Linked DNA regions of Rattus norvegicus. The main gene of each other region encodes a partner of the protein of the gene in region 2 in a complex. Links are inferred from orthologs where the notes say so. Each region holds a gene or a part of one and is shown on either strand. Other genes may lie near its edges.

Region 1 (3,820 bases), on a different chromosome or scaffold from region 2:
ATTTGGATCTGCCTTTATACAAGTACCAGTATTATCTATCTATACTTAATGTCCTCCTGTGAGAACATACACTCCATGGAATCTGAATTCAGAGATTTCAAAAGGAAACTATCTGTGGCTCATATACCCCAGGGCTGATGGTTACCTTGCATTTGCAGGTTGTACAAGGAGATCCAGCCATTGTCCACACGGCTCCGCTCAGCCTCGAAACACCAAAGCTGTCCAGGCAAGTTTTTCTGATGTCATAGGCAATATTATCAGCCAGGCAGGGGTCACTGACACATCGGGGACAACACTCCCCTTCAAACATGGCTGTGTATTCACAGCCCAAACTAGGGCAAGCCAGAGGCCAGCAGTCTGCCTCTCCTTCCTGTGGAGAGGAAGATGAAATGAGTTGTGGTCATCCTTATACAGTTTTACATTCCCTTAGGGCAAAGAAAGCATTAGAATTCTCATTATTTTCTTACTGAGTGCTTCCAGCCCACACTGCGATGTGCACGATCCATCGTCCACTGTGAAGACATACCTTCTACACACATCTAAGAAGGTATCATTCCCTCAGGATGGTTTTGCTGACTACCTAGCCCAGAGTTCACAGAAAGTCTTTAATCAGCTTGTTTGTGTTCTGAGCACAGAATATAGTTATTTTCATCATGCTGTACTGGTCTTTTCAGGTTATGCTGTGTAATTGACATAACTCAACATTTGTCCAACAGATACTAATAGAACAAACAAGCAAAAAAAAAAAATGAAGTGTGGGCAGTGTATGAAGAGACGCCTACTTCTTTTAAGGTCCAAAGTGAGACCCAGAGACAGGGAATATTTCAACAGCTGCATCAACTGAGATGTTGGATTCAAGTTCAGAGCTGAGGCTGGATGTTCTTTGGAGAAGCCACCCCATGACTCTAAAGTCTCTAAATCACAGCTCAAATGGAGGCTCTACCTGAGTCCTCTTCTGGCTGTGGGCATCACTGAGCTGCCTATGTCAGCGAAGTCTCTCCACACCACCTCACTGTCATTGGGTCACTGTCTGCTGCAGTGGTTCTCATCTACTGATTTAATTATTTAATCAATGTATCTAGCATCTAGGCTTATTCATGTTGTGCCTATGTCTGCTTTGCTTGTATGATATCACTAGGAATCTGGCACAAGCAAAGTCTCAATAAAGCATTTATTAAATGTGACCAATATTATTCTAAAGTAATTTCAAGTTAATGCTCAATAGCTTCTGTGAGTTCAAAAATAAATGTACATCCCAAAGACTGGACATTCAAGATGCTGTTTTGAAACCCTTTGAGTGAAAACATCATGTGCAAGATAAATGCCAGTAATTCTAGCTATCTGATGACTGGATTCTCAAGAAAGAAAAATGATTTTTCCAGACTGATGCTGGAAACAGGTATGTAGTTGTCCTGGGTGTATTTGTCCTTGGAAGGGAATCTGTAAAATTGGCCATGAACAGAATTTATCTATGTTGCAGTCTTTGTATTAAGATGGATTGTAAAAGGTACATGGTATGACTGCTTGTACATTTGCCAGGGGATTTATGGAAACTGGGAGAACAATTTCTCTGGGTGCTAGTTTCCATATAATACCCAGAAAGAGAAAAATTCATTTCAATAGCTATTAAGCACCAAGCTAAAACCTTGCTTTATAAGCTGACTCAGGTAGAATGCTCGGAGATGAAGCCGATGGAGCACCGCTATCCTCAATGTACCATGCCCTCAAGTCTTCCCGTTCTTAGAAACCATTGTCTGTATTTGAAACACACTGGACCAGATATGGAAATTATGCGTTTTCTTTGAACTTTCCCAAATCCAGGCACAGTATTAATATCTGTATATTAATATTTAAAAATATTCTTTGTTCTGTTTGAACAGCATTTATAAGGGATAAAAGAGCACCGATAGCAGTTACCACATTAAGGGTCTTCTATGGCATTGAACCAAGCACCTACTATGTTAGGAGTGCAGAACTCATCCTTCACATACGTTCTCTCATCTTCCTAAGAATCTTTGAACTGGTACCCATAAACCTGTAAACATTTATGGAAAAGACTAACCGCTGAAACACTTTGACATATCCAAAGTGTCCACATAAGCTAGCCTATGAGACAATTACAGAATGGTTTCTCAGTCTTGCTCACCCAAACTCCATCACTTCTATTACATTTTTTTATTGGCAGTATTAAAGATTGTGTCAAAAGCACGTGGTCAGTGGTTAAGCATAGCCCATGATGCACTGTGTAATACTGGAAACATCTTGGAATTCCAGCCCAAGAGCTCGTGAGTTTATAACCTTTTCTAGAGTAAAGGCATCGGGATCCCCAGGAAACTGACATACCAGACATCGGCACTGCTGGCAGCTGTGGGTCCAGTTGTCTCCACTTCGATAGAGCTTCTGTCCACTTTGATCTAAACATTGGCTGGTGACCCTGGTATCGCACTCTGGGCAGCAAAAAAGGTCAACATTTGGATTCTGGCAATCACAAGCTGTCCGCCGGCAGAATATCTTCCCATCCTGTTAAGAAGTGAGGTCAAGGAGGTTTTGTGATTAGGAAAATGTATGCACAGATGCACTCCAAAAATCAAGCCTTGCAAATAGACCGTAGAGCTCACAGAATGTACTTCTTAGCTCGGAATCTATATTGTCCATCTCCCATCTTGTTCAAAGCAGGCACAGCCTTTCTTTATGGGAGCCAGCGAAGTCAAAATGGGGACATTCCTAAGGGCACCAAAGGGAAAAATAATCAATATGCTCTTTGAATGATTTTTTAAAAATATGTTTCTGTGAAGCAGGGGCTATCCCTGACTCTGTTGCCAGTCTGTGAACCCTGTTCCCCTAATTATGCTGCCTAATTGTATCTGGCCTCACGGGAGGGGATGTACCTAGTACTGAAGTGACTTGATATGCCAGGGTGGACTGGTACTAAGGTGGGCCTCCTGCTCCTCAGAGGAGAGTAGGGCAAGATGGGTGAGGGGCTATGTACACGGTGACTGGTAAGAGAGGGGCTGTGATTGGGATGTAAAGTGAATAAATAAATTAATTAATGGAAAAGATATGTTTCTGTTTAAGAATTAGAACTAACATAAGCAGCTAAACTAAATGTGATCAAAAATGCATTCCGGGGGTTGGGGATTTAGCTCAGTGGTAGAGCGCTTGCCTAGGAAGTGCAAGGCCCTGGGTTCGGTCCCCAGCTCCGGAAAAAAAAAAAGAAAAATGCATTCCGGATGGAAGGGGGACTACAAGGTGGTGGACAAACAGACAGGAAGAGGAAAGTAGAACACTAGGGAAGTGGGGGGAAATAAAAGCAAACTTCACAGTGTGTGTGTGTGTGTGTGTGTGTGTGTGTGTGTGTGTGTGTGTGTGTGTGTGAATGTAATGAAAGCGTGGTATTGTGTGCTATGACAATCAATAAGAAAATAACCTGATTTCAGTGGAAAACCATGGGACTACATTATCCTACTATTCCAGAACACCAGCAGACACACTGAAATGCACTGCCTACTTTCATCTGTGTCCCAATCTTAAGGGATACGGGAAGAATTAACTGAGGTCCAGAGACGTTGAGTGCCTTATACAGATCACACAGTGCAGCGTTATCTCTAAGCCTACAATTGAGTCCAAGAGTTTCAAAAGAATTTTCTTCTACGAGGAAGTCTTTATATTGCTTATTTGAAGAGCTTGTAGTCAGTTGTCCCCTTCCTCCATGAAGCAGTTCACCAAATTACAGACACATTACAGTATGAGGAGTATTAGTGCTGGGCACTCAGTTTTAAGGAACTGAAGGTCAGTATCACCGGGCATCAAGGCTGAGTGC
Region 2 (3,820 bases):
ATATGAATGGTCTCTTTTTTCTTCTTTTCTGCATCCGTTCAAGACCTCAACTCATTGTCTCTCATATGGGCTTGATTCCCTCCAAGTCCCTTCTAGTCTTAACAATCTGTACTATATGTGGTTAGGAGGCTCAACGGTAAGGGAGCTCCTGAGAAGGATGACTAAGATGGCTGCCTATCAGGCACCCTCATTTCCCCCTCCTCCCTTCCTTGGGCCTTCAGGAGAGAGAAACATGACATCCGGCTGTAATCTGGGCTGTCAGTATAGACCTGGCATATCAAAAGAAAGCCCGGTGAACCACCACCATTCTGTGGTTTGGATGGGGTGGGGGCTACTCCCTGCTCTCACTCAATCATACACATACCCATAAGGCCTCTGGCCTTACCCTGGGTTTGAACAGGCTCAGAGACAGGACTGGGTTCACTGAGGCCCCAGGCTCCAACAGCTCTCACGAGGAATAGGTAGATGGTATTGGGCTGCAGGCCGCTGACGGTGTGCGTTTCCAGCTGTACCCCATCTGCCACCGTCCGCCACGTGTTGCCAGCTGCTTGGCTAAGAAGGAAGGAGATGACAGGACTGTCTAAGCCAGGAATGCCCAACTCAGGCTCACCCATTCCCTGCAGAACCATACTACCTCCTTGGGGGAGGGGGTAGAGAATCGTTCTCTCAAAATAGCAAAGGCCCTAAGGACATAGGATCCCACCCCCCTTCTTAACTGTATCAATAGTCGTCTCCGTGGGCCTGGAGAGATAGCTCAGTAGGTAAATTGACTACTGAGTAAGTATGAGGACCTGAGTTCAGATCCAATGCACCCACATAAACCCCAGGTGTGGTGGCATGCATCTGTAACCTTAGCATTTGCTGGGGGAAGAGGGCAGAGAGATAGGCAAATCCCCAAAGCTGAGTAGTCAGTCAGCCTGTCTAACCAATTAGTGAGAGACAGGTTCAAAGCCAGACTTTGTCTCACAGACCATACGGGAGGCCATTTGATACTACGCTGTGGTCTCTGTGTGCACGTAGACATACACACATGCAGACTTGCAAGCACACATATACAGACGCACAAAATAGTCTCCATACCTGAAGGCCTCTATCACATAGGAGGTAGCTCTGGCCCCAGACTGTGGATTGGGCTTCCAGGTCAAGGTAATGCTGTTTGTGGTTACCTCTGTGACTATTGGCTGAGAGGGAGGGCCTGGAGGATTACCGGGTTCTGTTGCTGGACCTGGTGATGCTCCCCAATGTTCTGCAGTGATAGATTATCATTAGAGAGAGAGACTGGGGAAGAAAGTGAGACCTGCCTCCTTCCTAGAAATGCTATAGGACTCCAAGAATGGCAATGGCTAAGAGGTAACATAGTATATTAGCCCAGATTCACATCTGCCTCCCAAGTGTACCAGTCCATCCCCATCCCCACCAACATAGCATTTGGAAGACAAAATTAATCCTGGGGCTCAGAAGATAATGACTATTTTTAAAAAACAAATTTGGAGAAAGCTACTGGCAAGACTAGACTAGTGAATTAACTTACCTCGCTTCCTAAGCCAGCTATTCCATGTGGCCTCCCCTATGGAACTCTTGGCCACACAGCTGTAGAAACCCATGTCCATCTCCTGTAGGAGAAGGTAGAGTGCTGCCCCACTGGAAGTGGAGCACAGTAGGGTGAAGGGGTGGAGAGGCAGGTAACAGAAGGATGAGGAAGATGCTGGATACTTTAGGAAGTCTGAGAGAGCAGAGAGGTAGAAATGGATTAGATGCCTAGTTGGTACTTACTAGAGTTGGAATGTGGACCAGATAGCTATTTTCCAGTTACAGGGACTCCAGGGATGGCACTCACCTGTACACTGGCAATGTATAGTGTGCCGTTGTCCATTAAGTTGAACTGTGAGTTATCCCCCTGCAGCCACGTCTCATCCTTCTTCCATTGGACATTGGGCTGAGGGTTTCCAATCACTCTGCATGGCAGCCACACAGAAGAGCCAAGTACCAATGTCTGATTGGCTGGTCCCTGGAGAATGATGGGAGGTAGTCCATCTATGGAGGCTGAGAGAGAGAGGGAGAACTTGGGTCAGGAAACCTTTGTCCTTCTGCCTTATATGGCTCATCATCTCATCCCTCCCTCCTTGTCCTCCAAGACGGCTTTAACAATCATGTCTAGTCTCTGCCTGGGACCATTTTGCTGCTCGTTTCCAAACATCAAGAATGTCCCTCAGGAAAATGCCATTTCCCTTTAAGACACATTGAACAACATCCAATGGAAACAGACCTCTTAAAAGAATGGATCCTGGGTCCAACCCTCTCTCCACAGACACGTACCTCCTTTTATCTCTAACAGGGCCTTAGCCAGGATGCTACCAGCCACACTGACAGCCTGGCACACATAGTAGCCACCATCCCCGATCTTTACTTCAGTGATGTTGAGCTGGCCTCTTGGAGAGACTAAGAGGCGTCCCATGGGCTGGAGTGACTGACTAGGGAAAAGCAAGACCTGGAATGGAGCAAGAAAACAAGATAGGGAATTGGCAGTGTGTAGAGAGCCCTATTCCTGCTGAGAGAAGCCTTAAGATTTTAGTTTGCACTCTGCCTCCAGTCATTGACATGACCCTGGTCAATTAGTTAGCCAACTGACAAAAGTAATGGACATTTATTAGAAGCTCTCAGCTTCCATGTCCCCGTTCTGTGACTTTATTGGTTGACAACCTCTAAGAAACTTAGCTATGAGATAAGGCAGGAGGATCACAAGTTAAGAGACTGGCCTTAGCTCAGAAGATGAACTATCTGGGGCCAGGGGAGATGGCTCAGTGGTTAAGAGCACTGGCTGCTCTTCTAGAGGACCTGGGTTCAGTTCCCAGCAACCACATAGCAGTTCACAACTGTCTGTAACTCCAGTTCTAGTAGATCTGACACCCTCACACAAACATACATGCGAGCAAAACACCAATGAGCATAAACAAATCTTTTTAAAAAGAAGAACTAGGGGCTGGAGAGATGGCTCAGCAGTTATGAGCATTAACTGCTCTTCTAGAGGTCCTGAGTTCAATTCCCAGCAACCACATGGTGGCTCACAACCATCTGTAATGGGATCTGATGCCCTCTTCTGTTATGTCTGAAACAGTGTACTCACATACATTAAATAAATAAATAAACAAACAAATCAGAAGAAGAGGAAGAGGAGAGGAAGAGGAGGAGGAGGAGGAGGAGGAGGAGGAGGAAGAGGAAGAGGAAGAAGAAGAAGAAGAAGAAGAAGAAGAAGAAGAAGAAGAAGAAGAAGAAGAAGAAGAAGAAGAAGAAGAAGAAGAATTAACCAACAACAACTAAAATAAATAAAATCTCTGGCCCAGTATATCTTTATAAGCCCCAATTTCCCCAAATTTGACTCTCAGAGCTTAGGGATCAAACTCAGTATGAAGGAATCATGGGAATGTTTCATAAAACAGCATGATAAAGGCTAAATATTTTCTGTCTTAGCATTTTACTTTAGAGAGACATGTGGAGAGGAGAGAAAACAAGTTTTAGTCTCTGGACAACAGGTCAGGCTGAGACTCTGATTCCCCTCTTACTCCCTCCTACCAACACCATTTTCATCCCCATGAGGACCTAATTAAAATGCAACAGTCACAAGAACTGGAGATGTTGGGGAATTGTGGCCATGGGTTTGGAACAAAGATCTTGTAGTTTTCCTGAAGTGTAGATTTACTGTAGTTTACTATAGTGACCCTCCTTCCACAGAGAAAATCACTTAAGTTGTAACTTCCATTCTATTGGGTAGTGTGATCTGGATTTGTTCACTGGGTGGAAAGGAGACGGTTGTGAGTGCCGC

Evidence for each region.
Region 1: the proteins of Robo3 (region 2) and Nell1 are in contact, whole or in part, in a crystal structure (PDB 6POL), measured with the Homo sapiens proteins. The link is inferred for Rattus norvegicus from reciprocal best matches to the Homo sapiens genes ROBO3 and NELL1. Residues at the interface, in NP_071765.2 of Homo sapiens: Ser553, Pro555, Val590, Glu592, Phe594, Pro596, Asn600, Thr601, Trp602, Thr604, Ile624, Leu626, Arg630, Gly633, Ala634, Trp635, Gly636, Leu637, Ser638, Glu639, Pro646, Val647, Arg648; in NP_006148.2 of Homo sapiens: Ala440, Lys441, Met442, His443, Tyr444, His446, Tyr458, Arg468, Val469, Asp470, Asp471, Phe472, Ser473, Asp478, Ile492, Cys493, Thr494, Asn495, Thr503, Cys504, Lys505, Pro506.

The regions. Positions count from the first base shown.
Region 1 is NC_086019.1:109,698,799-109,702,618, reverse strand, and holds part of Nell1 (protein kinase C-binding protein NELL1 precursor), read right to left. Parts: intron 2,521-3,820; coding exon 2,344-2,520; intron 371-2,343; coding exon 146-370; intron 1-145. UniProt on the Homo sapiens protein: Plays a role in the control of cell growth and differentiation. Promotes osteoblast cell differentiation and terminal mineralization.
Region 2 is NC_086026.1:45,330,012-45,333,831, forward strand, and holds part of Robo3 (roundabout homolog 3), read right to left. Parts: intron 2,489-3,820; coding exon 2,317-2,488; intron 2,044-2,316; coding exon 1,838-2,043; intron 1,724-1,837; exon of another isoform or gene 1,614-1,723; coding exon 1,532-1,613; intron 1,247-1,531; coding exon 1,081-1,246; intron 553-1,080; coding exon 386-552; intron 1-385. UniProt on the Homo sapiens protein: Receptor involved in axon guidance during development. Acts as a multifunctional regulator of pathfinding that simultaneously mediates NELL2 repulsion, inhibits SLIT repulsion, and facilitates Netrin-1/NTN1 attraction.